Linked DNA regions of Callithrix jacchus. The protein of the gene in region 7 interacts with the protein of the main gene of each other region in a pairwise test. Links are inferred from orthologs where the notes say so. Each region holds a gene or a part of one and is shown on either strand. Other genes may lie near its edges. The genes, in order: ERCC3, NEK6, PPIH, RFC5, CASP10, SSX2IP and XIAP.

The links.
Region 1: the proteins of XIAP (region 7) and ERCC3 interact in binary tests that used the Homo sapiens proteins (3 or more experiments, as listed by UniProt). The two-hybrid records come from large-scale screens. The link is inferred for Callithrix jacchus from reciprocal best matches to the Homo sapiens genes XIAP and ERCC3.
Region 2: the proteins of XIAP (region 7) and NEK6 interact in binary tests that used the Homo sapiens proteins (3 or more experiments, as listed by UniProt). The two-hybrid records come from large-scale screens. The link is inferred for Callithrix jacchus from reciprocal best matches to the Homo sapiens genes XIAP and NEK6.
Region 3: the proteins of XIAP (region 7) and PPIH interact in binary tests that used the Homo sapiens proteins (3 or more experiments, as listed by UniProt). The two-hybrid records come from large-scale screens. The link is inferred for Callithrix jacchus from reciprocal best matches to the Homo sapiens genes XIAP and PPIH.
Region 4: the proteins of XIAP (region 7) and RFC5 interact in binary tests that used the Homo sapiens proteins (3 or more experiments, as listed by UniProt). The link is inferred for Callithrix jacchus from reciprocal best matches to the Homo sapiens genes XIAP and RFC5.
Region 5: the proteins of XIAP (region 7) and CASP10 interact in binary tests that used the Homo sapiens proteins (3 or more experiments, as listed by UniProt). The two-hybrid records come from large-scale screens. The link is inferred for Callithrix jacchus from reciprocal best matches to the Homo sapiens genes XIAP and CASP10.
Region 6: the proteins of XIAP (region 7) and SSX2IP interact in binary tests that used the Homo sapiens proteins (3 or more experiments, as listed by UniProt). The two-hybrid records come from large-scale screens. The link is inferred for Callithrix jacchus from reciprocal best matches to the Homo sapiens genes XIAP and SSX2IP.

The regions. Positions count from the first base shown.
Region 1 is NC_133507.1:37,182,580-37,186,643, forward strand, and holds the start of ERCC3 (general transcription and DNA repair factor IIH helicase/translocase subunit XPB), read left to right. Parts: upstream 1-1,264; 5' UTR 1,265-1,332; coding exon 1,333-1,360; exon of another isoform or gene 1,361-1,560; intron 1,561-1,696; coding exon 1,697-1,902; intron 1,903-2,553; coding exon 2,554-2,790; intron 2,791-4,064. UniProt on the Homo sapiens protein: ATP-dependent 3'-5' DNA helicase/translocase. Binds dsDNA rather than ssDNA, unzipping it in a translocase rather than classical helicase activity. Component of the general transcription and DNA repair factor IIH (TFIIH) core complex.
Region 2 is NC_133502.1:172,878,106-172,882,348, reverse strand, and holds the start of NEK6 (serine/threonine-protein kinase Nek6), read right to left. Parts: upstream 2,801-4,243; 5' UTR 2,665-2,800; intron 2,543-2,664; exon of another isoform or gene 2,397-2,542; intron 1,046-2,396; exon of another isoform or gene 926-1,045; intron 1-925. UniProt on the Homo sapiens protein: Protein kinase which plays an important role in mitotic cell cycle progression. Required for chromosome segregation at metaphase-anaphase transition, robust mitotic spindle formation and cytokinesis.
Region 3 is NC_133508.1:79,296,039-79,300,217, forward strand, and holds the start of PPIH (peptidyl-prolyl cis-trans isomerase H), read left to right. Parts: upstream 1-1,379; 5' UTR 1,380-1,403; coding exon 1,404-1,469; intron 1,470-1,534; exon of another isoform or gene 1,535-1,723; intron 1,724-1,777; exon of another isoform or gene 1,778-1,806; coding exon 1,807-1,871; intron 1,872-2,193; coding exon 2,194-2,217; exon of another isoform or gene 2,218-2,308; coding exon of another isoform or gene 2,309-2,334; intron 2,335-2,485; coding exon 2,486-2,530; intron 2,531-3,831; coding exon 3,832-3,874; intron 3,875-4,179. UniProt on the Homo sapiens protein: PPIase that catalyzes the cis-trans isomerization of proline imidic peptide bonds in oligopeptides and may therefore assist protein folding. Participates in pre-mRNA splicing.
Region 4 is NC_133510.1:121,071,747-121,075,730, reverse strand, and holds the start of RFC5 (replication factor C subunit 5), read right to left. Parts: upstream 2,801-3,984; 5' UTR 2,676-2,800; coding exon 2,611-2,675; intron 2,399-2,610; exon of another isoform or gene 2,268-2,398; intron 152-2,267; coding exon 87-151; intron 1-86. UniProt on the Homo sapiens protein: Subunit of the replication factor C (RFC) complex which acts during elongation of primed DNA templates by DNA polymerases delta and epsilon, and is necessary for ATP-dependent loading of proliferating cell nuclear antigen (PCNA) onto primed DNA.
Region 5 is NC_133507.1:122,282,010-122,285,509, forward strand, and holds part of CASP10 (caspase-10), read left to right. Parts: intron 1-1,655; coding exon 1,656-1,791; intron 1,792-3,500. UniProt on the Homo sapiens protein: Involved in the activation cascade of caspases responsible for apoptosis execution. Recruited to both Fas- and TNFR-1 receptors in a FADD dependent manner. May participate in the granzyme B apoptotic pathways.
Region 6 is NC_133508.1:121,877,399-121,880,898, reverse strand, and holds part of SSX2IP (afadin- and alpha-actinin-binding protein), read left to right. Parts: intron 1-1,294; coding exon 1,295-1,370; intron 1,371-1,450; coding exon 1,451-1,628; intron 1,629-3,500. UniProt on the Homo sapiens protein: Belongs to an adhesion system, which plays a role in the organization of homotypic, interneuronal and heterotypic cell-cell adherens junctions (AJs).
Region 7 is NC_133524.1:119,628,224-119,631,723, forward strand, and holds part of XIAP (E3 ubiquitin-protein ligase XIAP), read left to right. Parts: intron 1-2,640; coding exon 2,641-2,740; intron 2,741-3,500.

The DNA.
Region 1 (4,064 bases), on a different chromosome or scaffold from region 7:
CTGAGTCTAGCACCTTTTAAAGGTTTGATAGGAAACATTTATCATCTATTATTTCTCAGGGTGGTCACCTATGTGACTTCATCTACATTAAGCTTGCCTGACCCGTGACCCACATGTGGCCCAACACAAATTTCTTAAAACATTGAGTTTTTCTTGCAATTTCTTTTCTTTTTTCTTTTTTTTAGCTCATCAGCTATCTTGGTGTTAGTGTATTTTATATGTGGCCTAAGACAATTCTTTTTCTAATGTGACCCACGGAAGCCAAATGATTGGACGTGACACCCCTGATTGAGATAATAAGAACCTTGATCTCCCAGACATTCCTTTCAATTGGTTTCAGGTTTTTTGATAGTAAGTCTTTTTTTTTTTTTTTTTTTTTTTTTTTTTTTTGCAGAAAATGATCTATTTAGGCAGAGAAAGAAAGAAAGAAAAGAGAGATCGAGCTCCCACGTTGCGGTGGGAGGGGATCCAGAGATGGAGTCTGCACAGAGAAGGAAGGACAGCTCCCACACTGTTGTGGGAGGGGTAAGTCTTTCAAGGAATTGCCTATTAGAAAAATCTTTTAATCCACCTATGACCTACCTGAAGCAACCCCGCCCCCCACCTTGGGCACATGGTCTCAGGATCTCTTGAGACTGTGCCTCTTGCCATGGTAGCTCATCTTCGGCTCAGAGTAAGTACTTCATAGAGTTTGATTCTTTTTGTGGACGCTTTCTGACCAGTTATAACGAGCTTCCATGTAACGTTGATGCTGCCCCCTCTCCTCCACCACTCGCTCCCCTTTCCTCTCAAACACCCGACACACTGGGCCTCAGGTGTGTGGTGTGTGGTGTCTGCGTTCCCGACTGCTGCTCCTCGGATGGCATTTACATGGGACAGCGTCTCACTTTCCTCGGACTTTTGCTCAAAGACCGTCACCAACAGAGAGCGATTCCCTGACCACTCCATTCAACATGGCACTGCCCTCACTCAGGCCCTGTTTGAGTCTTCCTCAAAGCACTTATCACATTTTTGCGCACATCGCTTCATTAGAATTTACGTTCAAGGAGATGAGGCCTTTAACTCGCGCACTGCGCATGTTCTCAACACACAGTATTTTCCTTCAGCATTAGAGTAATGAATGGTGGAGGACGCCCGCGGCAGGCACACTGATAATCGCTAAGCCGCCGCCGGCTCTACGCTCATCCCGCCCTGCCAACACAGCGCTGAGAGGCGGAATTTCCTGTGTGGACCTCAAGAAGCTTCCGGAGTGAGCCGGAAGTCCACTTGAGAGCGGAAGTAGCGGCAGGCTTGCGGTAGTGGTTCCATCTTCACTCTGTTGCCGTAGCTGCCATGGGCAAAAGAGACCGGGCAGATCGCGGTGAGACGTGACGCGGGCGCGCTCAGCCCCGACTGCCCTCGCTGACTCTGCCCCGGCTCTGCTTTGGAGCTGCTCTGGGCTTACCCGCGCCGGCCGACCCCGCTGGCCCTGCCGCGCGCGCAACCGGTTGCGACAGGCCGCTGGGCAGAAGAGATGCTGGACCTGGGCGCAGCCCAGAGAACTCGGCCGAGGGGAGGCGGGTGAGGGGCGCAACGCCTGCGGGATGCAGGTGGCTCTTAGCTAGGAGTTTGCGCCGGCGCAGGTGAAATGCTGCCAGACAGTGCGGAGGGAACCCTAGGCTCCTTCTGGGCTTACTTCTGTGTTGGTATCTTGCAGACAAGAAGAAATCCAGGAAGCGGCACTATGAGGATGAAGAGGATGATGAAGAGGACGCCCCTGGGAACGACCCTCAGGAAGCGGTTCCCTCCGCGGCGGGGAAGCAGGTGGATGAGTCCGGCACCAAAGTGGATGAATATGGAGCTAAGGACTACAGGCTGCAGATGCCGCTGAAGGACGACCACACCTCCAGGCCCCTCTGGGTGGTAAGGATGCCCTTAGCTTGGGCGGGGCCCAACAGTGTGCGGAGCGGCATTCTCAGAGTCAAAACTCACATTCGGGTTACTGCCCCCAGAACCGGTTGGGAAAGAACTTTAATTTACACATGTTGGAACAGCTCAAGACATCAGCGAGCAGTTGTGCACACGTGTGCCGGCCGGACCTGGGCCTCCTCCAGTTCTAACCCCTCAGTTTACTCTCACTCCTTCCCCAGCCCTACCCCATGTAGTAAATACTTGTATCTGTGGAATAAATAGCATTTGTCATGTAACAATTTGTTTCCCCATCTGAAAAACTAATGGAAGACATGTTCGGTAGCAAGCTTTTGCTCTGCTTAAAATAATGTTCTACATTCAGTTGAAATCTAGCCAAAAGGTAACTTGAGGATAGCTAGTAAGATGGGCTTTCTCTGTGCAGAATAGAGGGAAACAGCTGCTGACTTTGGAAACATTTTCTTTTATTTTTCTTTACTCATCTGTATCTCATTAAAGTAACAGGTCCCACAGTTGTCTGAAGGAGTGCTTAGAAGAATATCTGTGGTGTTAGGCAGCTTATTCTTGATAAGGATATGGGCAAGAGTCCAGTAGTCCCTGCAACTCATGTTTCCTTGTCTGTTCTGTCCATTTGGTGTTTCTCAGGCTCCTGATGGCCATATCTTCTTGGAAGCCTTCTCTCCAGTTTACAAATATGCCCAAGACTTCTTGGTGGCTATTGCAGAGCCAGTGTGCCGACCAACGCATGTGCATGAGTACAAACTAACTGCCTACTCCCTGTATGCAGCTGTCAGTGTTGGGCTGCAAACCAGTGACATCACTGAGTACCTCAGGAAGCTCAGCAAGACTGGAGTCCCTGATGGAATTATGCAATTTATTAAGGCAAGTGGAAGCCGAGGCCAGCAATTCCACCTGCCTTACTAATGTAACAACGGGCATAGGTGCTCCATGTTGTCAGCCTGTGGCAGCCATGAGAATATGCCATTCACATTTCCTGTGGGGAGCATAACGACCAATTACCCCAGGTGCTACATTCTGGATTCAGCATTCTGTTCTGGGTGAGGCCATGCTTCTCATGAGCTGCTCCTAGCCATGGGTATTGACACAGAGGGGCTACTATTTCAGGCCCATTCTAGCCAGGGAGAATTTGGGAATGTAGCCCAAAGTGGGTGTGCTGGGGACTGAATTGTGTTCCTCAGATTCTGTCTTAAAAACCTAATACCCAATGGTAGTGTATTTGGAGTAAGCAGTTAAGACTAAATGAGGTCTTGATCCAATATGATTAGTATCCTTGTAGGAAAAGACACTGGAGGATACTTTCTCTCACCTGCCCTCCTTGTCATGTGATTAAATGGAAAGGAGGTCCATGGACAAGAGTCTTGACCAGTAACTGAATCAGCCAGTACCTTGATCATGGACTTTGAGCCTCGCAGCTCTGAAAAAATACAGTTCTAGTGTTGAAGCCACCTAGTCTGTGGAATTTTGTTATGTCATCTCAAGGTGACCAACACAGGTTGTAAACTCTATCTAAAGCTAAGTATCTGCAGGAGACCAGTAGTCAACAAGTTCTGTGAGGGAAAGTCAAAAACAACTTCAGATGTTGTTTTTTTGCAAAACAAAGAGGGTTCCATGTGATTAATAGTTGAACGTACTGGGTTTCTTCTGAGAGGTGGGTGAATGCCATTTAAAAGAGACAGTGGCTTTCATTGCCTTTGGCTATCTAAAGGGAGTCAGAGTCAGCCCTTGGGATCTGGAATCACAGAAGAGTGCTGCAGGAATTCAGTATGATACTGGACCCAGTCCCAGAGAAGCTGCAGGAGTCCTGGAGAGAGTTCTCTTTTCTTGTGATGTGAAAGGATGCCTGGCCAGGTGTGGTGGCTCTTGCCTGTAATCCCAACACTTTGGAAGGCTGAGGCAGGCGATCACCTGAGGTCAGGAGTTCAAACCAGCCTGGCCAACATGGCAAAATCCCGTGGCAAAATCCTACTAAAAACACAAAAATTAGCTGGGCATGGTAGTGGGCACCTGTAATCCCAGATACTCAGGTGAGATACCGAGGCAGGAGAATCACTTGAACCTGGGTGGCAGAGGTTGCAGTGAGCTGAGATAGCACCAGTGTACTCCAGCCTAGGCAACAGAACAAGACTCCGCCTCAA
Region 2 (4,243 bases), on a different chromosome or scaffold from region 7:
CAGTGCTGGGGGGTGGACTGGGTGAAATACAGCACCAGACCTAGCACATAGTATATCCTCAACAAATGGGGACAAAACTGGACACAGTGGCTCATACCTGTAATCCCAGCACTTTGGGAGGCCGAGGCGGGTGGATCACCTGAGGTCAGGAGTTCGAGAGCGGCCTGGCCAACATGGTGAAACCTTATCTCTACTAAAAATACAAAAATTATCAGAGCATGGTGAGGCACTCCTGTAATCCCAGCTACTCAGGAGGCTGAGGCAGGAGGACTACTTAAACTCAGGAGGCAGAGGGTGCAATGAGCGAAGATTGTGCCACTGTACTCCAGCCTGGGCAACAGAGTGAGACTCTGTCTCAAAAAAATATATAAATAAATAAGAACAAATGGGGACCATTTGTCGTGGTGCTACTTTAATGAAACTATGCAAGTCACGTCTCCGAACTTCGGTTTTCTCATTTGCAAAATGGAGAAAATAACCCCCATCTACAAAGAGAATAAAATGAATGGATGTGTGTTAAAGTACTCAGCACTAGGTCTGCACACCTTAGCCAGTCAAATATCAGATCCATATCCTTATCATATCATATTCCAGGTGCAATGGAAAGAGGAAAGGCTGTGAGGTTGGTCAGGTGACTTAGGATTCTGCCCTCACTTCCTCTCAGCTGCCCCAGGACACAGGCTTGACCCCTGTGTGCCTCAGTTTCCTTGTGCACAAAACCAAATGCCATTTTCTGCCGCAGAAGGCCACTGGGATAGTCACACTCCCCAGAACGGCTCCCAGCACACAGCCCCTTCTGCGCCGCAAACAGGAATTTCCTCCCCCTTCCCCTCCTCTGCCCCTGTTCAAACCCACCAGAAATGCCACCTGGTAAAGCCAGGCGCTCCATTTCTGGAAACCCAAACAGCTCTAAATCCAGACCAACCTGGGTCTGAGGCCTTCAGTCTGAGACTTCATTTTGTGGAGATAGAAAGTACTTTTTAGTCATTTCCGAAGCAGACGGGATGGCATAGGCTGACAAACCACAGGGACCATTTTAAATCCTGGGCCTTTTCTTCTGGGAAGTTAGGCAAGAACCTTCCCAAATGTTTGCCCGTCAGGCTCTCTGCCAGGGAGTGACTCATTCCATGGCTCCCCACAGGCATATTTTATTTGGGGGTGGGGGACGCAGGGAGGGCTTGGCCTTGATGGGGGAAGGAGAAGGGGCATTTCCAGCAAACCCAGAAAGCGGTTTTTTGTTTTTTTGTTTTTTCTCATTTTCAGGACAAAAAGAAAAAGAATGTGGGTCTTTTTCGCTTCCTTCCAGGTTTTGTTTGCTAAAAGAGGACGTCCAAAGTTCACTCCCTAAACTCAAACTCACTGAGTCTGGGGCAGGCGCTTCCAGCCGGCTCTGCGTCCCTTTCAATGAAATTCTTCTTCCATTAAGGACACGGTTTTTAAACGTGCCTCCAAGACCCGCCCGCACGTACTGTACACCAAACTAAGACGACATTTTCCCCCCAAAAAGGCAAACTGAATTTTCAAGAGCCAGAGCAACTAGGGAGTTCTAGAGTTTCTAAAGTTTGCCTTAAAGCAATTATGACTTTCAGCTGCAAAGATTTTCAACAGTTGGAGAGCGCGCACACACACACAAAAGCCTGTCAGTCAAAATTACAAGGACAGACCTCGGAAGCTGGTGTCCCAAGCCCGCTGCGATCAATGTGTGACTGTCCTGGGATTCACACTTGGAGCCCAGGCGAGGTATAAATAAATCAGAGGATCCATCTACTTAGTAGGGCAGGCAGAGAGGCCCCCACATACACAGATAAGTCTGGGGTCAGCCCCCCAGGCCTGGCTGTAGAGAGAACCAAGAACAAAGGCAGGGGAGCCGGAAGGGTATTTAGGAAAACTGAACACACGTCCTCGGGTGCCAGGCCGAGGGGCCCCCCAAAGGCCTCGCTGGCCCAGCCTGTGTGTGTAGGGAGCGTCCTGCCAGTAACCTGGCTCTGAAACCGCCTGTCAGGCCCAGTCAGGCTGAGTCTGTCCTCCCGGCCTCTGGTTCACCAGATCAGGCCCAGCCCCGACCCCCAGCCCACGCCAGGCCGCTTCTCTCTCCATGGGCTCCCTGGCTTGGGGGCCATCACTGTGCAAAGGCCTGGTGGGCGCAAAGGGGGTCCCTCAACCTCTGTACGGTCCTACACATTCGTTACACTCACACCCACACAGGCACACTTTCGCCCTCCTAGGCTCAGGCATATGCGTGCACACAAATCACTTTGGAATGCACACACGTGCTCATACACATTCCCTGAGACCCGCACGGACTCCCTGCGGCGCCCGGCACACTCCTCGGCCTGTCGTCCCCACTCGGGAAGTGGGATGCGGGGAGCCATGCCCGCGTCCCCCCACGCACTCACCCCAACGCCACCAGAGGCTCCGGGGTGCACACGCACACCCGCCGGCGACGCGCACACCCCAGGACACGCGGACACGCCGCCCCCGCCCGGCCGCCGACACGCTCAGCCCCTCGCGGCCACACACGCGCCCGCCTCCCGCTCTCCCTGCGGAGCCCCGGACGCGCGCCCGCTCTCGGCCCGGCTGGGAGTGACGGCCCTGCCGCCCGTCCCCCGCCCCATCCCAGCCCTCAGGGCCCCACCGGCCCGGCCCCGGCCCCAGGCCACTCACCAGTGAGCGGGCGGGCTCGGCTGCCGCGGGGGGACCGGCGCGCGGGCCCGCGAGCGGCCGGAGCGGTGCGTCCCACAAGAGTTGGCGGCGCTGCGGCCGCACGCCCGTCTGCTTGGTTCCGCCGCCGCCGTCGCCTGCGCGCGCCCGCGCGCGCGCGCCCGCCCCTCCCCGCCGCGGGGCCGCGCCGCCCCCTGCGCTCGTGCGCGCTGCCGCCACGCAGGCTTGAGGGGCGGGGGCCCCCCCGGCGGCGTCCTCTCTGGGCCTGGACCCCTCGACTCCTCTAAGTCCTGCGGACGGCAAGCAATCCTCTCCGCCAAGGACCCCCTTTCCCATTTTAGAGATGGGAAAACTGAGGCCCAGACTCACAGGGCGCAGGCCGGTGTATTCCCCTCTTCCCGGGCTCTAGACTTAGGATGAGGGTCTGCAGTCAGCCGACCCTGGGACTCCTCCCGTGCATCATCGAATCCTCCATCGCCTAGCATTGCTCCTGCCACAGTCCTAGTCAGACTGAACTTGGCATAGTAACAAGCACTTATTGTGCACCAGCTGAATGCAGGCACTGAATTAGGCTCCAAGAGTATTCCCATGTGGGGAAGCCCCCCCTCCCCGCCGCCCTTAAAGTGCCAGCGACTCTCCATCTGGAGCTCTCACTTCCTGTGGCCCCAGGGACCAGCAAGAGCCAATGTGCAAAGGTTTCTGGAAGTAGTAAATGTCCCCTCTAAAGAATGCTGAACGCCCCCTTTAGAAGTCAGAGTCTCCATGGGACCAAAAGGCAGCAGCTCAGTTCTCACTTCGCCTCCTCCTTGCACCGAGAGTGGCCACTCCTGGTTTCTACCCCTGCTGCCTCCCCTCCACATTCAAAACTGTGCTGCATCCCAGGAGGGCTGCAGCCAGGGGCACTGACTGCCTGCTATACACCCAGCTTGGGCACGGTGCTGTACTGGGCACAGGGTGAATGCCTGTAGGGCTTCTGTTTGCCAAATGAGTGGAGGTTCTTGGACTGGCCATGTTCTATAATAATGACACCAACTGAACGTCCACCGTGTGTACCAACCTTACCCTTGTGCCCATTTTACAGATGGGTTTAATGAGGCCTAGAAATGAAATTTCAAGCCAGGTGTGGTGGCTCACGTCTGTAATCCTAGCACTTTGGGAGGGCAAGGCAGGTGCATCACCAGAGGTCAGGAGTTCGAGACCAGGCTGGCCAACACGGTGAAACCCCGTCTCTATTAAAAAAATATAAAAACTAGCTGGGCAAGGTGGCGGCCACCTGTAATCCCAGCTACTTGGGAGGCTGAGACAGAATTGCTTGAACCTGGGTGGCTGAAGTTGCAGTGAGCTGAGATTCTGCTACTGTACTCTAGCCTGGGTGACAGAGCGAGACTCCATCTCCACAAATTAAAAAAAAAGAAATTTCAGGCTGGCATGGTGGCTCACACCTATAATCCCAGTGCTTTGGGAGGCTGAGGTGGGAGGATGGCTTGAGGCCAGGAGTTTGAGACCAGCCTGGACAATATAGCAAGATCCCATGTCTACAAAATAATTTAAGAATTAGCTGGGTGTGGTGGTGCCTGCCTTC
Region 3 (4,179 bases), on a different chromosome or scaffold from region 7:
CTTTAAATTGAGATACACTGGATTTTTTAATATTTTTTTCTTATTTTTGTTTTGTGTCTTTTCTTTATATACACTGGTTTTTATATGCAATCCTTGCTTCCTCAGAGGACAGAGCTAGAAAAAATGATCAAAGGACATAGGAAATAATAACTATTAAATGCATGCTGTTATTTGAATGAGCCTTGCCCAAGGTCCCCGTCTTTCACTGAATTCTTTGAATATATTATATTTATTGAATATCTAGTACGTGCTATTCAGTAGGAGACATTGCAGCTACACTGTGAACAGGACCAGGAGTCTCTACTTTCATGGAATTTACATACTATTAGGGAGGAAGATATATGTGTGTGTGGCAGGAAGTGAGGTGTAGACACATACCATACAAAGATAATGTGGAATCGGGGGTAGCATGAAGAAAACAAACCAGTGATCTGAATGACCAAGGGCTACTTTAGATTAGGTTTAATGTTGCCTCTGAGAAGATAACATCTGGGCCGAGCCCTGAACTATAAAAACATTACTTCCCACAGGCATACCGCAACCAACCAACCAACACCCGCTCCCCCCGCCCTCCTCCGCTAAACCACATTAAGATCTGGAAGGAATATTTCAGACAGAGGTAACAGCTATTACAAGGCCCTAAAGAGAGGAGGGATCTCAGTGACCTAGAGGAACAGACCGGCCAGAGCACAGTAATTAAGGGCAAGTGGCACAAGATGAGGTCAGGTAGATGACAGCTAGATAAATGCACTGTAGGGCTTTGTATGTAAGGAATTGAATTTTATTCTGAATATAGGAAGCCAGGAGTGATTTATAAGCACAAGAGTTATTCTGAAAATAAAAAACTCTATTTGCTCTGTGGGAAATGAATTGGAAATGACAAAACTGGAAGCTTGTGGCAGAACTGAAACATAATCTATTGTACTGACTTCGAGGAAGGAATAAGTATTCACCTAGCAAGCATTTGCGTGCCAACCTGTTCTAAACGGTGAGGATGAACCAGAGTTCCTGCCTTCACGGTGTGCACACACTAGCGGCAGAAGACAAGACACAGCACGTGTGGCTGTGCAGAGGGCTTGGCTGCAAGAGCTGATAAGGAGAACCCCGGGAACTGCCTAATTCAAAAGCCCTTAATACAGCCACGTGAGTGGGGTGACCATTGACCTTAACCAAAAAGATGTCAAGGTTTTCCTCCTCCTCACTCTAGCGTCCCCAGTCTCAGGGGGAGTCTCTCAGCTCAACCCCAGCACCCTCAGCACAAACCGCGAGGAGAGACAGCTTCCGGGGGCGGGGCCTGGTCTTGTTCCGCGTCTACCGCGCCTGCTCCACGGACGAAACCCGCGGACTGGGCTTTAGGGTTGCCGGAATCCCACGCTCCCGACTTCTGCTTCCGGGTCACAGCCATGGCGGTGGCAAATTCAAGCCCTGTTAACCCCGTGGTGTTCTTTGATGTCAGCATTGGCGGTCAGGTGAGATCCAGGAGGCTGCCCACACCTGCGCCGAAGGGAAACTGCTCGGGGCTAGGCAGGCAGAACTCACCCAGAGAGAGCGGACTCGGGAAGCCAGAAAGTGAAATTGCACCCGAACTTACCTGCCGGGAGGGGGAGGAAAGGAGGAGGATGAGTCTCCCCAATCCTAGCGCCCTGTTTCTGGAGAGATTGGGCGGAACGAAAGGTTAGGCCAGGGAGGTGGAGGTGGGAGATAACGAGCGGCAGGGTGGTGGGTCAGTCCATTATGCCCCCTGATCATGGTTGAAGCCCTCATGGTCTTTGACTAGGCCTTCTGACAGTCTCCCGCTGATTGCAGGAAGTTGGCCGCATGAAGATCGAGCTCTTTGCAGACGTTGTGCCTAAGACGGCCGAGAACTTTAGGTAAGGACGTGCTCCACCTCTGCTGGATTAATTGAGGCAGAAGCCGAGCCCCAGTCGGCCGCCTGAATAGCCTGTCTACATCTGTTCGTCCGCTCACTGCTCTTGAGATGTGATTCCTCCGCGCATTGCTCTGTCTGAATGGTTGCCGTTTTGATTGTTCCCGAGTCAATTTATGTTGTTAGTCTGTATGTCTGCGTGTCTGAACGTCTGGCTGGCCGATTGGTGGACTTGCTGGCTCCAGTGTTTATTCTTTCCCGTCTTTAGAGGAGCTCACAACTGTGATGTCACAGTGATTGAATCGTTCACTTTTTGTCTCTTTCAGGCAGTTCTGCACCGGAGAATTCAGGTCAGTTTCAGACGTGTTTGACTTCTTTGATTGCTCCAGAGGGGTGTCCTGGGCTGCAGTGAGGGTACGGGGAACCACCTGCTGGCCTTGAATGATTGCTGGTGACAGTGATAGAAGGTAATACCCCAAGGGTCTATCCCTAGTTGGTTTGCCTTCTTTATGTCTGTTAACCCTGTTTAGGAGAGTCCTTTTGGCTCCAGTGCATGGTAGATTGGAAGGGCCTTGTGCTACCTGCTATCACTCTAATTCTCTTTCTTTTTGATTATAGAAAAGATGGGGTTCCAATAGGATACAAAGGAAGCACCTTCCACAGGTAAGGCTTTTTGGCAAGCCATCCTGGAGTCTTTCAGAAGTACTTCCTGGGGGATTAGGCTCTAATAAAATAAAATTTAAAAAGGAAAATAAAACCAGAGGGTAATTCTTACATTTCTTGAGAAGAAATGGTTCTGTGGACTCAACAACTGAAGATTTATTAAATGTTCTAACTCTACTTATACTTCTCCACTTCTTTTTATGTCTTTAAAACAGAAACTACTTATCTTTACAATATCCTGTCCGTTTCATGCACCTGTTTGTACTAATGCAGATTTTTTAAAAAATACAGTTGTAATCCTAAAGTGCATATAATATATCCTGCTGGTTGATATTTATAATTCCTAAAATTATCATGTACGATTGTCCAAAGATAATCATATTTCCTGGGGAGTGGAGTATAGCAACACTGAGTCTCATTTCAATATACAATCTTTCTCATGGTCTCACTGTGGTTAGTAACAACATTAGCATGTAATTATATCACAGCTTTAAAGCTGTGGGTCACTAATCCCCAGTAAGACTCCTTTGAAGTGGGAGGTGTTATCTGTATTCCACAGAGGAGAAAACAGGATAAGAAAGGTTAAGGGCCCTCCTTAGGGGTAATAGCTAACCACTGTTAAGCCCTGACACGTGTAGCAGTCCATTTCACATAAATTCTCTGTAGTTCTTTCCCGCAAATTTACATTAAGCCCTTGATCTGCCAGGCAAGTACTGTGGTCATTCTTCCTGCAGGCTTTTAGCCCCTTCTTCATGTTACTGTTCAGGCACCAGATCATGTACTTGACCAATTCTAACATGCCCTAATTTGTAACTAAAATCCTTTTTTATGGTTAATTATCCTTTCAGCTTAATCATTCCAGGAAAAGAAAAATCTTTTTTTTTTTTGAGGCAGAGTCCCACTCTGTCACCCAGGCTGGAGTGCAGTGGCATGATCTTGGCTTACTGCAACCTCTGCCTCCTGGGTTCAAGCAATTCTCCTGCCTCAGCCTCCTGAGTAGCTGGGGCTACAGGCATGCACCACCATGCCTGGCTAATTTTTGTATTTTTAGTAGAGAAGAGGTTTCGCCATGTTGGCCAGGCTGGTCTTGAACTTCTGGCCTCATGTGATCTGCCTGCCTTGGCCTTCCAAATTGCTGGGATTACAGGTGTAAGCCTCTGTGCCCGGCTAAGAATAATCATTTTATAAGCCAAAGTGATAGTGTTTTTTGAAATCAATGTTAATCTAATATAATAATGACAAAGTCTATGTGTTTCTAAACCATAAAATCTTCTCTCAGTATTCTTTGCTCTCTGTTTCAGGGTCATAAAGGATTTCATGATTCAGGGTGGAGATTTTGTTAATGTAAGTATTATTCCTTTCCAATCAAAGACCTACAGTTTTAGTTTTTGTTGTTATTGTTACAGCTGCTGTTTTAACTATAGTGACCCAGTCTTAAGGCCTAATGACAATAGCCAAGTTTAATGGGGGTGTTGATCACCCCACAGATACCTACAGGGCCTGAGAACAATAGCCAAGTTTGATGAGAATGGTGATAGGGAACTTCTTGAAAGTGGCTGGGTACCATGGACTCTACATAACAGACTTTAGCACTTTGATTGGGACATTAACTTCCATGGTCCAAATCTCAGCCTTTTTGAGCCAGAAAT
Region 4 (3,984 bases), on a different chromosome or scaffold from region 7:
GTTATTACTTAGGAGAGACATCACCACCAAGAAATTTATACAGATCCTTCAACCAGGACAAGAGCAACGGACACATGGATACTTACTGGTACTCAGAATGTCCTGATGAGAAATGAGATCATTCAGGGTCTGTGGCCGGTATTTCTCAACCCTGAAATACAATTTAGCAGGTATTATGACATATAAATGCAAGAACATTTTATATGCAAAAGAATCCTTGGCTGGGCATGATGCCTCGCCTGTAATCTCAACACTCTGGGAGGCTGAGGCGGGTGGATCATGAGGTCAGGAGTTCAAGACTAGCCTGACCAACATGGTGAAACCCCGTCTCTACTAAAAATATAAAAATTAACCGGGCATGGTGGTGCACACCTGTAATCCCAGCCACTCAGAAGACTGAGGCAGGAGAATTGCTTGAACCCAGGAGGTGGAGGCTGCAGTGAGCTGATATCACGCCATTGCACTCCAGCCTGGGCCACAGAGTAAGACTCCATCTCAGGAAAAAAAAAAATCCTTGTAGGCCAGGCACAGTGGCTCACATCTGTAATCCCAGCACTTTGGGAGTCTGAGGCAGGTAGATCATTTGAGGTCAGGAGTTCAAGACCAGCCTGGCCAACATGGCAAAACCCTGTCTCTACAGCTACCTCCTAGGGGCTCTGTACGGATCAAACATCTAACAGGGCATCTGCTAACCTAATAATACGCCATTCAATAAAAAAATAAGAAAAAAAATACAAAAATTAGCCAGGTAAGGTGGCATGTCCCTGTAGTCCCAGCTACTCAGCACGCTAAGGTGGGAGAATCGCTTGAACCTGGGAGGCAGAGGTTACAGTGAACTGGGATCACACCACTGCACTCCATCCTAGTTGACAGGGTGAGTGAGACCCTGTCTCAAAAAAAAAAAGAAAGAGAGAGAAAGAATCCTTTCATATCCTAATTTAAAAAGGAAGAAAAAGCACTTTAAATTTGAACACAGACAGTGGTTCTCAACCAGGGTGATTTCGTCCTCCTAGGAACATCTAGTGAAACATATTTAGCTGTCACACGTGGGCAGAGGGTCCTAGGCACTTAGTGCATAGTCTCTAGGAATGTTAAACATGCCACAGTGCACAGGACAGCTCCCCCAGACCCACCCAGAGTATCTTGGCCCAAAATATCAATAGTGCTGAGGTTGAAAACTGTTCTTATCTCATCTTTCCAGCTGTTTGCCTATAATCTCAACCTGATGGGCACCTACTATTTCAAAGTGCATTTGAAACTGAACTCATACCCAAATAGCCTTCAACAGAAGAATGGATAGGTAAAATGTCTTCTGTCGATACAACGGACTATGATTCAGCCGTAACAAGAAATGCAGTACTGATACAAACAGCAACATGCATGAACCTTGAAAAACTGATGCCGAGTGAAAGAAACCAGACACAAAAGGCCACATCATGTAGGATTCCACTTACATCAATGTCCAGAATAGGCAAATCCATAGAGACAGAAAGATTAGTGGTTGCCAGGGGCTAGAGGAAGGGGAGAATGGGGAGTGACTGTCAAGGGTACAGGATTTGCATTTGGGATGATGAAATTTTGGAACTAGATAGTGGGAGGACTCCACAACAGTACACTGCATTCTGAATGTACTTAATGCCACTGAATTGTACACTTTAAAATGATTACGTGCTGGGCTTGGTAGCTCGCCTCTAAAAGTTCCAGTGCTCTGGAGGCTGAGGCAGGAGAATGGCTTGAACCCCAATGTTTGAGGTTAGACTGAACTGTGATCACACTACTGTGCTTCAGCCTGGGCAACAGAGCAAGACCCTGTCTCTAAAAAAATAAATACATAAAATAGTTACAACTGTCAACCTTATGGGATTTTTTTTTAAAAAACCACAATAAAAGCAAATTGAACTAGCTACTAGACAATGACAACTTGGAGCTTTCAAAACCAAGCCAAATTGCATCAAAGTCTTTAGAGCACTGCTAGGACATCGCTGTTGAAGTAGGATGGTTAACAGTACAAGCTCTGAATTCAGACTTCCTAGATTCACCTCCAAGCCTATTTTCTAGCCCTGGACCATAGGCAAGTCATTTAACCTTTCTAAGATGCAGTTTCCTCCTATGTAAAATTTGAAGCGGTGCCTACCTCCTAGGGTCTTTGTAAGGATCGAACATCTAACAGGGTGTCTGCTAATCTAGCAATACGCCATTCAATAAAAGTTGACCAGGGAGCGTTATTACTCGTTTAAAATGTGACCAATAGTCGCATCGCAGGTTTTGAAGAGTGGGAAGAGGACATTTTGGCATGGAGGCCAACGCAGGTGTCAGAGGACGCAGGATCGAATCCCTGTGCTGTCACCAGGTGCGAAAGCCGCTTTCTTCTTCGGCAAATGGAGCTGGGTGTGAAAGGGTAAGAGCTGGCAAAAGTCCTAAACAGAACGGACGAGTCTGGGGACCTGGGGGGCATCGGGGGAAACCTCTGCGGCTCGGCCCCGACTGCAGGCCCGGGAGCGGCGGGGCAAGATCGGGCTGGGGTCCGGTCACCTGCCCACCCCGGCCACCGCCTCCCCGCGCGGCCGCCCGGCCCCCTCTGCCCACCGCGGCCGCTTGGCCTCTTCCTACCAGGGCAGGTTCCTGATCTTGGCCGCCGCGGGTTGCTCCTGCTGCTTGAGCGCTGAGGTCTCCATGGCGGGGAGACGAAGGCGACCAGATCCGCTGAGATCGTCGCGTAACTCAAGCGCCTGCACAGCGACCAGCCGCGACCTGACCCTGAGACCCTTGCACTCAGAGTTCGCGCGCAAAAACAACTCTCGCGATAAGTGGCCATCGGTTTCCGACTTCCTCCCTGGGTCCCGCCTCCTAGTGTTGCCAGGGCGCCGGTTGCTAGGTTACCAGAGGGGCCAGCCGCCAGCTAGCTTCCAAGCTCCACCTCTCCAGCCTGCTCGGAGCTCTCAGATACCTAGGCGCTTCCAGAGCAGGGGATCGGGAGAGGCAGGGCGCCCTGTAGCCCTGGTCATTAGCACCTATTAAGATCTCACGGCCAAAGCCAATTCCTGCCATAGCCAAACTTCAAACACTTAACGTTCAAACGAACAAAAGCTTTCGGGGCTCAAAAAAAATATTTTTCTAAGTAAAAAACAGCACCCGAGTAACACGGCTGGATCTTGAATATACATGCCCTTGTGAAAAAGGCTCACAATACCTCTCGGCCCCAAAGCTGGGGGTGGGGTGAATATTTGGAAATGAAAACAACCCCAAACACACATAACTGCAACCTACCTCTCTCCGGAATCCGTGCCCCTCACCCAACAAAATTTAGAGAACCAACCACCGGAAAACTACTCCAGAGAAAAACAAACAGAAACTTCCAGTTGGGTTCATCTGTGTCGCTGGAAGGATCTGGTTCATGAACACAGAGGACAGGGTTTCTGCGATCTGAGATACTGAGGAGAATCGTAATCAACATTTTAGTTTTTTTTTTTTTTTTTTCTGAGTCGAAAAGATTCTGGATCATTTTCATTTTCTTCTTTTTTGTAGGTCCATCTTTCCTTTTCTTTCTTTTTTTTTGAATCTCACTCTGTCACCTCGGCTGGAGTGCACTGGCATAATTTTGGGTCACTGCAACCTCTGTCTCAAGGTTCAAGCGATTCTCTGCCTCAGCCTCCCAAGTAGCTGGGACTGCAGGCACGTGCCACTATGCCCAGCTAATTTTTGTATTTTTAGTAGAGATGGGATTCGCCATTTTGGACAGGCTGGTCTTAAACTCCAGATGTCAAGTGATCCACCTGCCTCAGCCTCCCAAAGTGCTGGGGTTACAGGCGTGAGCCCCCGTGCCTGGCCTGGTCTGTATTTTCCAGCAATGAGCATGCAAACCATCGATATTGAAGTCTCTCTCTTTTTTTTTAACGTGATGAGGAAGAGAAAAATCTTTGGAGGATTTTCGAGGCTGGCCTGGGGTCAGCAGTGTTTTGATTAGGAGGTAGCAGTACTCCTTGC
Region 5 (3,500 bases), on a different chromosome or scaffold from region 7:
TCGCCTTGACCTCCCAAAGTGCTGGGGTTGCAGGTGTGAGCCACTCCGCCCAGCCAGAAACTCATGTCTTGAAACATCCTACCAGGAGGAATACAAGGAGCTAAGATGTGATTCCAGAAGTAATTATGGAGATTCATTATACTTTCTAAAAGTTTATTAGATGCTTAGTACATCACACACACACATTTAAATGGGACCTGGACATTAGTTTAAGAATACCACTCTGGCAAATACTAGCAGCAAAGGTCTGAAAGCTCTTGTTCTGTTTCTTTGCTAAAGAGTTAGTAGGTTCAGGTGTGGTTTCCTTTAGACTCAGTATTCTATGCTGATTGCTATGCTGAGAACGGATTTCCTGACAGTTGTTAGATCTCTCAGGATGTGTGTAGGCCAGCTATGCTGGTTATGTTTCTGTGAAAGCTCTCAAAGAGAAATCCCAGAATCCCTTACAAAGGCAAGGTTATTTGTATTCTCCCCGAGAGACCACATGAATTTAGAACCTTTCTGTTTTGGCTGAGGGGTGTTCAGGCCCTCTTCCAACGGCGGGTAAGTAATCTATTACTTACTATTAAAAATACAAAAATTTTTATTTTTGTATTTCTCTGCTAAAAATACAAAAATTAGCTGGGTGTGATGGCACGTGCCTACAATCCCAGCTACTCAGGAGGCTGAGGCAGAGGAATCGCTTGAACTCTGGAGGTAGAGGTTGCAGTGAGCCGAGATTTCACTATTGCACTCCAGCCTGGGCAACAGACTGAGATTCTGTCTCAAATAAAAGAAAATAATAAAATAAAAAAAAATGCTCATCAAATTGTGATTTTTTTTTTTTTTTTTTTGAGACAGAGTCTTGCTCTGTTACCAGGCTGGAGTGCAGTGATGCAATCTCTGCTCACTGCAACCTCTGCAATTCTCCTTCCTCAGCCTCCCAAGTAGCTCAAACTACAGGCACCCGCCACCATGCCTGGCTAATTTCTGTATTTTTAGTAAAGATGGGGTTTACACCATGTTGGCCAGGCTGGTCTCAAATTTCTGATCTCGTGATTCGCTCACCTTGGCCTCCCAAAGTGCTGGGATTACAGGTGTGAGCCACTGCACCCGGCCCAAATTGTGATTTTTTTTTTTTTTTTAGAGAATTCCTTTTCTTTTAAAACACCAAATTTAAAATTCTTTCAGAACATTTCCCCCTCATTTCTTTGGTGTTCCTCTTTTGCTGGTTCCCTAATCAGTATCACTTAAAGCAGTGAGTTAGAGTTCAGTGGTTAATGAGATAGACTGTGGCATCAGATTGTATCAGTTCTGCCATTTATTAGCTTTGTGACTTTGAGCAAGTTACTGGAACCTCTTTGTGCCTCAATTATTTCATCTTTAACATGAGGATTATAATAGTATCTACTCATTCAGTTGTTGTAATGTTAATATACAGCAAGCATGGCTCCTGTTGTATAATTCTATATATTTGGTACCTGGTATTAATATAGATTGTATACATATTTGCTTGGTAATGCCTCTTCCTCTACACTCCTGAGCAATGTGAGGGCAGATGCTGTCGTATCTTATTTATCAGTGCAAAACCTAGTGCCTCGTGGCCATGCAGGTAACATTTGAGTGAGTGGATAATCAGTAGGGAAGGAAGTGTAATTCTATTGATTCTCTTGTAGACCTCTCTAGGGTTACTGGCATTTCTAGAGAAACAACATAAAATAGATGAAGATAATCTGACAGTCCTGGAGGACCTCTGCGAAAAGGTTGTACCTAACCTTTTGAGAAACATAGAGAAATATAAAAGAGAGAAAGGTAAGTAGCTTGTGCTTGCTAACTTGCACAAGACCATGGACATTCTTAACCCAGTTGGCCTTGCATGATTTTTTTTGTTTGGGGTTTTTTTTTTTTTTGAGACAGAGTCTCACTTACTCTTCCACCCAGGCTGGAGTGCAGTGGTGCGATGTCGGCTCACTGAAACCTCCGCCTCCCAGGTTCAAGTGATTCTTCTGCCTCAGCCTCCTGAGTAGCTGGGATTACAGGCACCTGGCACCACACCTGGCTAATTTTTGTATTTTTAGTAGAGACAGGGTTTCACCACGTTGGCCAGGCTTGTCTCCAACTGCTGACATCAAGTGATCCACCCGCCTCAGCCTTTCAAAGTGCTGGGATTACAGGTGTGAGCCACTGCACCACGCCCGTGTGTGATGTTTACTCATCATTCTGGTAATATTCTACTAGAAAAGCCAGAAATCTTCCTTTTGTTCATATTGAATTCATTAGTTGAGGTCATATTTTGTACCAGGCACTGTTTTAGAAGTTGAGGATGGCCGGGCGTGGTGGCTCATGCCTGTAATCCCAGCACTTTGGGAGGTCAAGGCGGGCAGATTGCCTGAGCTCAGGAGTTCGAAACCAGCCTGGGCAACACAGTGAAACCCAATTTTTACTAAAAAAAATACAAAAAAATAGCAGAGCATGGCGGTGTGTGCCTGTAATCCCAGTTACTTGGGAGGCTGAGGCAAGAGAATTGCTTGAACCCAGGAGGCAGAGGTTGCAGTGAGCCGAAATTACACCACTGCACTCCAGCCTGGGCAACAGACTTAGACTCAGTCTCAAAAAAAAAAAAAGAAGTTGGGGATATAGCAAAGTACAGAGCAAAGCTCCTGCCCTCTTGGAACTTACATTTCAGTGCAGGGAAATAGTTTTAGACAAACATCTTTTTCTGATTCTAATATGGGAGTGAGAGTGTATGAAATTGTTTTAAATGAAATGACATAAAAAAGAAGGCAGGATAGCCTGGGGTGAGAGTGGAGTCTATAGTGAGGTTGCCAGGACTCCGCTTATTCGTGGTGCAGTGGTACTTTTTTGGCTTTTCTGTTTCACTTTTCCCATGTGTAAAGTGGGCATAATAATAGTACCCACATCATAGGTTTTTGTGAGGATTGAATGAGATAATTTCTGTAAAATGCTTGTCTGGCATGGAATAAGCATTCAATACATGTGACTATTGTTACTGAGAGATAAGTAATGAAGACTTCACATTCTCAGAAACGACTATCAAAGAAGAACTTTATTATTATTATTATTTTTTATTTTTTAGACAGAGTCTCACTCTGTCACCCAGGCTGGGTTGTAGTGGGGCAATCTCAGCTCACTGCAACCTCCACCTCCCGGGTTCAAGCAATGCTCCTGCCTCAGGCTCCTAAGTAGCTGGGATTACAGGCAGGCACCACCATGCCCGGCTAATTTTTGCATTTTTAGTAGAGATGGGGTTTCACCATGTTAGCCAGGCTGGTCTTTAACTCCTGACCTCGTGATCTGCCCATCTTGGCCTCCCAAAGTGCTGGGATTACAGGCGTGAGCCAACTCACCCAGATTTTTTTTTTTTTTTAAGTCTGTCTGATAAAGGTAGTTCTGCTGTGATATTTTATATAGGACAGAAGTCAAACCTGGCTGCCTCACCATGTGTCAATATGCTAAATATCTATGTTTTTCCGAGTCCACTTCTCCACTGTTAAACAAGA
Region 6 (3,500 bases), on a different chromosome or scaffold from region 7:
TGCATAAGTTCACATAGTATAGATTAAAAAGTAAAGAAACACAAAAGTAGAGCTTTACAATACAGTTTTGCTGGCCCAATATAAATAAGAGACACAAGAAGTGTGTGGATTTATTTATTGAAGAGTGATTTCCAAGTGACTATAGGCAGTCCTCTAACCTATATTATACCATGACACCCCTAAACTGTCTTACCTTAGATTTGAAAAACAGTTGATGAGCGTACATTTCAGGCTGTCATGTCATAGACTGCCTGCTGTCAGCAAGCAGTTTAGTGTTGACTACATCACTGTCATTCTACAGCAGAGCTGTTGCAGGCATCTGAATACTTCATCTTTTAAATTATTGAAAAATAGAAATCAAGATTCAGTAATATGCAGTTAAGATTGGAAATCTTTAGATATCCTGAGTTAATCTTACTCGTTAGGACAATCACTGGTTTTTAAGGTTAGTTAACCTCATGTTCATTCATGAAGGGAAAAAGATTAAAAAGGAGGACGAAATGCTGAAGGTATGAAATGTAACATAGAGAAGTTTGTTAAGGATTTAGTTCTGGAAACAGAGCTCTTACAGTATAGGGGTCTTGCTGTTTCCTGGTCCAATTATAAGTGATAGTTTCATAATGATTTTATTAACTCTAAGATTACAGTAACTCACTCTTCTTATGCCACATGCTTCCATGGCCACCTGCAGCAGAAGATATTACTGCTGTCAGGAGCTTTGACTCCTTTGATGAAGATGATGATGTTAACAGGGCATGGCAAACTTTTTCTTTAGAGGTCCATATAGTAAATATTTTCAGCTTTGTGGGATCTACAACTTGTTGAACCTGCTTATCTGCCATTGTAGCGGGAAAAGTAGCCATTGGCAATATGTAAGCAAGTGGATGTGGCTGTGTTTCCATAAAGCTTTATTTATCAAATCAGTCAGCCAGCCTGCTGGCTATTACCAGCCAACCTCAATAATAAAATTAATAAGGATAAAGTACTTACTGTGTGCCAGATATTGTGTTTACCTCTACTGTTAGGTGCTTTAACATTTGCCTTCACTCTTTGGTAGATACTTTTGTTATTCCCAGTGTCCAAGAAGAAAGAGGCTTAGCAGTTAAATAACGTGCCAAGATATCATTGCTTACAAGTGATGGAATTAGAAACTCAAAAATTAGGCTGTTTGAGCCCAAACCCTAACTTATATACCAGGTTCACTTACACCACTTTTATGCATATAGAATGCATTAGAGTTTTAGACACTTAAGCACGTATGGTAAGAATTAATTTTGTGTGTTCGCGTTTGTAGCTATGGACATTTTGAATTATGTTGGTAGAGCTGATGGAAAAAGAGGCTCCTGGAGGACTGGTAAAACTGAAGCCAGGTAAAGTCCAGTTTAAATTGACAAATGTAATCAGACTTCCTTCTATACTACATTTTTATACTGACAAGTTTCCTTCTCAGGAATGAAGATGAAATGTATAAAATTCTCTTGAATGATTATGAATATCGTCAGAAACAAATCCTAATGGAAAATGCTGAACTTAAGAAGGTTCTTCAGCAGATGAAAAAGGAAATGATTTCTCTTCTTTCTCCCCAAAAGAAGAAACCCAGGGAAAGAGTAGATGATAGTACAGGAACTGTAAGTGACTCTTTCCTCTCTGATATAATCTTCAGATTGCTAATATGAATAATTCTCAATGGAGACACTATTGGTATTTTGAATAGGACACTCACTGCTATGCTACTTTCAGTTACTGTGACAACCAAAAAGACTGTTCCTGTGTTTTCAGACATACCCTGGAAAATGCTGGAGATGATTTTCCAAGGAATTAATACATGTCAAGCACTGTAAGAAGTGTTTTATAAGCATTATCTCATTTTTAAAATATTCTTTGTAATACATGAGATTATTTCAAATGTTATAATTTGATGATTTAGATACTACAAATATTCCCATTTTAGAGATAAGGAAACTAAGGTGTAATACTTAGTAGCCCAGTATCACACATGACAGTGCTAGAATTTGAGTCCAAGTTTGTCTCACTCCAAAGCTCACCATCATAACCACTATGTCAAATAACCTTTCAATTGTTTTAGTATTGTGTACTCTACTTTCCAGAGAGTGAAACTTTTGTTAACTTTGGGAACCAAATAATCAGTTTATAAATTTATCGAATGTCCTTTATGTTTTAGTCTCTGGAAGGGAAAAACTAAAAAGATTTTGACTTTCTCCCTCAAGAAGCTCTTTTTGGGAGAGACAGATGTGAAGAAGTGATTATTACATGTGTCAGGTGCTGGAATAGGGTAGAACAAAGTGCAGAAAAGAACAGTTATGGCAATCAGTCCATCACAGAAAAAGTGACATTTTCACTGCTTCTTAGAACATAAATATTTTTGAGGTTAAAAATAAAACGTGGAGAAAGTATTCCATAGAAAGGCAGTAATATATATGCAGAGATCTGAAAAAACATCACATAATGGTGAAAAGTTTATTTTACTTAATTGCTTTGCATATAAGTTAAAATTGTAGGTTTCAGCAAGTTGACAGTGATTAAAATCTGAAAATAGTGTTGATAGAAAACACTAGTTAACAGCAAGGCACCACAACTTGTTTTTTAAACCTGTATATTTGAGGATTATTTATTTTGTTGTATCACAAATCAGTCCAGCTGATAAGCCCATTTCACCACTTACTTTTTTTCTCCTTAACATTTTTTTATTATTACTTGAATATTTTACATTCTCCACTTCGAGGTCTGCTTGTCCTCTTATATGTAATCTTTTCTCTCAAACTCTGTCACTTCTAGTCAGTTCTTAACATTCACTAATAACTCTTCAAGGTTAGTATAGTATCTGTTACTCCTGCAGCATCTTCAGTTTTTGGTCCAGCCTTAACCTCTTATCACCAGATTTCAGTCAGCATTTCAGTATATAGTAAATCAGGGGTGATCTTTCTCAGATGATTAAACCCTCTTCACTGCCATTACTCAGCCAGTGGGTAGTATCATGTATAATTCTTCATAGTTCAAATGTTTAAGTGGACAAACAATAATCTCTTAAATATCTTTTTAAAAGATCCATTTTTCTAGCTCCATTTTCTCTTTAATTTTTGTAGGGAAAGATTTTTGAAGCATTATAGCAAGAGAAATGAGATGTAATGTTGGAATGCCTAGGTAGCATCCCAGTTTCATTTATTATTTGACTGACTTACCTGTAACTAAAACATATACCAAAAATTCAGGTTAGGTGAGTTTGTTGTTTTGTTTTTTGGTTTTTTAGAGGCAGGGTCTTGATGTGTTGCCCAGGCTGGTCTTGAACTCCTGGGCTTAAACAGTCATCCCACCTTGGCCTCACGAAGTGTTGGGATTACAGGTGTGAGCCACTGTGCCTGGCCGAATTTTTAAATTTTCACTTTGTGGTTACAGAATTCAATCTGAGAAATGTGCGATAATTATTTTACTTCTTTTTTTGAAATAAATGGAGTCTCGCTCTGTCACCAGGCTGGAGTGCA
Region 7 (3,500 bases):
AGGGCTCCTAAAAAGTAAATAGATGCCTTTAGCCCCCTGAACTGGTAAATATTTAGGTATAATTTGGCATGATTATACCTATATTCATCTTATTCTGTGAACTCTTATGTTGAACCTGTAACGTAACTACTGAACTTATGTGAAAAAGACTACCATATTATGAGTCACATTTCTCTTCATGTAATTGTTTTTAGGAAGTAATAACATGCAAAAGATGGTAGACATCTCCAATAACAAAATGGGTCCAATAAAATACTTTGATTTATTGAGCACCTATTATATGTGCACAGTATGTATACTTCATGCATTTTCTCTAAGCTTCACAATTTTTTTTTCTTTTCTTTTTCTTTTTTTCCTTTCCTTTTCCCTCCCTCCCTTCCTTTCTTTCCTCCCCTCCCCTCCCCTCTCCTCCCCTCCTCTCCCCTCCCCTCTCCTCTCCTTCCCTCCCCTCCCCTCCCCTCTTCTCTCCTCCCCTCCCTTCTCTTCTTTGGGATTTCACCAAGACCAGGATGGTCTCAATCTCCTGACCTCATGATCTGCCCATCTCGGCCTTCCATGGTGCTTGGATTACATGCATGAGCTACCACACCTAGCCCATAATAACTTTAATAATTTTTTTTTTTGAGACGGATTGTTAGTCTTGTTGCCCAGACTGGACCACCTGGCCCACAATAACTTTAATAACTTTTTTTTTGAGGTGGAGTTTCACTCTTGTCCAGACTGGAGTGTAATAGCACAGTTTCAGCTTACTGCAACCTCTGCCTCCCAGGTTCAAGCAATTCTCTTGCCTCAGCCTCCCGAGTAGCTGGGATTATAGGCATGCACCAACACGCCCGGCTAATTTTGTATTTTTAGTAGAGACAGGATTTCTCCTTGTTGGTCAGGCTGGTCTCAAACTCCCCACCTCAGGTGATGCGCTGGCCTCAGCCTACCAAAATGCTGGGATTATAGGCGTGAGCCACTGCACCTGGCACTTTTTTTTTTTTTTGAGACAGAGTCTCACTCCATTACCTAAACTGAAGTGCAGTGGCATGATCTTGGCTTACTGCAACCTCTGCCTCCTGGGTTCAAGCTATTATTGTGCCTCAGCCTCCTGAGTAGCTGGAATTACAGGCACATACCACTGCACCTGTATAATTTTTGTGTTTTTTAATAGGGACAGTGTTTTACCATGTTGGCCAGGCTGGTCTCAAACTCCCGACTTCAAGTGATCTGCCCACCTCAGCCTCCCAAAGTGTTGGAATTTCAGGCGTGAGCTACCATGCTTATCTTCCCAATAACTTTATTTATTTATTTATTTTTTTGAGATGGAGTATCACTCTGTCACCAGGCTGGAGTGCAGGGCGCAATCTCGGTTCTCTGCAACCTCCCGCTCCTGGGTTCAAGCAATACTCCTGCCTCAGTCTCCCAATTAACTGGGACTGCAGATGCGAGCCACCACACCCAGCTGTTTTGTATTTTTAGTAGAGACAGGGTTTCACCATGTTGATCAGGATGGTCTTGATCTCTTGACTTGGTGATCTGCCCACCTTAGCCTCCCAAAGTGCTGGGATTACAGGTGTGAGCCACCGTGCCTGGCCCACAATAACTTTATAAAAAGAGCTAACATTAGAGAGTTTAGTTTGGCTCATGCTGTAGTAAAATTGACATCTGCCTTTAGTACACAAAGTATATATATGGAAGCTGCCTTGTATTATGCTTGGTGCTTCATATGAGTGCTTTTCAAATGAACTATGGTAGACATGCCAGGAAGGGTCATTGGTGTAATTGCTTCTAAAGATATTTTTAAAAATTATGCCATTATATATTTGACCCATTTATTTTAAGATTGAATAATTCCTATAAAATATTGGTTATTTCAAAAGATTTTTATTTATGTACCATTATATAGTAATCTTGAAGGTTTGTTTAGTGTCATGTGGCTATAAACTTAGGGAAACTTATCTCATAATTCCATTATGTAGAACTTTAATGTTACTAACACTTGGAAAATAACTTGTTTTAAAGTTTCACAGTTTGAAACAGTAGGTACAATATTGGTGGCCCAAATAACATACTAAAAAGAAAGTATGCTGGGTGCAGTGGCTCACGCCTATAATCCCAGCGCTTTGGGAGACCAAGGTAGGCGGATCATTTGAGGTCAGGAATTCGAGATCAGACTGGCCAGCATGGTAAAACCCCGTTTTTACCAAAAATATAGAAAATCAGCCGGGTGTGGTTGTGCATGCCTGTAATCCCAGCTACTTGGGAGGCTGAGGTAGGAAAATCACTTAAACTCAGGAGGTGGAGGTTGTAGTGAGCTGAGACTGTGCCATTACACTCCAGTCTGGGCAGCAGAGCAAGACTCAGTCTCAAAAAAAAAAAAAAAAAAAAAGAAAGTCGCAATCTTAATTTTGACATAAAACTTGGACAGTTTTATTTTTGTTCTGTAAAAATACCTCAGATTGAATCAGTGAATTTAGTATTTCTTCCTCAAATGATAGAGATTGTAAGTGTTACTTAGATGTGAATTTGAATGTCTTGTTTTAAGCTGTGAGATTTTCATGTTTTTTAGATGTGCTTAATTTTTAGGTGTTAACTGAATATTTTTGTGTAAGCTTCTAGTCGCACAAATACATATATTCTTGTATGTTTTCTTAGGTGACAGTGATAAAGTAAAGTGCTTTCACTGTGGAGGAGGGCTAACTGATTGGAAGCCCAGTGAAGACCCTTGGGAACAACATGCTAAATGGTATCCAGGGTAAGATACTCAATTATTCATTCATTCACAGGCAAATTGGATAGCATGCAGTGGGAGACTTGAATTACTTTTTGCCTCAACGATTTCTGCCTTCACTATGGCTTGAAATTCATGCCAGATTTATAAAAATGAGGAAAAAACCCACCTAAGCCTTCTCTGATGACCAAAACATCCACTGCTTATGTATCACCAAAACATCCACTGCTTATGTATCATATCTATGACATTCAAATTATCCCATTTATTTTTTATTTTATTTATTTACTTTTTGAGACAGAGTCTCACTCTGTTGCCCAGGCTGGAATGCAGCGGCACAGTCTAGGCTCACTGCAACTTCCGCTTGTTGGGTTTAAGCAATTCTCTTGCCTCCGCCTCCCAAGTAGCTGGGATTACAGGCACCCACCACCATGCCTGGCTAATTTTTGTATTTTTAGTAGAGACAGGGTTTCACCATGTTGGCCAGGCTGGTCTCGAACTCCTGACCTCAGGTTATTGGCCCGCCTCAGCCTCCCAAAGTGCTGGGATTACAGTTGTTAGCCACCGTGCCTCGCCAGATTATCCCATTTTTTTTTTTTAGTTTTTATTTTTGAGACGAAGTTTTGCTCTTGTCGCCCAGGCTGGAATGCAGTGGCCTGATCGTGGTTCACTGCAACCTCCGCCCCTTGTGCCTCAGCCTCCTGAGTAACTGGGATTACAGGTACCTGCCACCACGCCCAGCTAATTTTTGTATTTTTTAGCAGAGACGGGGTTTCACCATGTT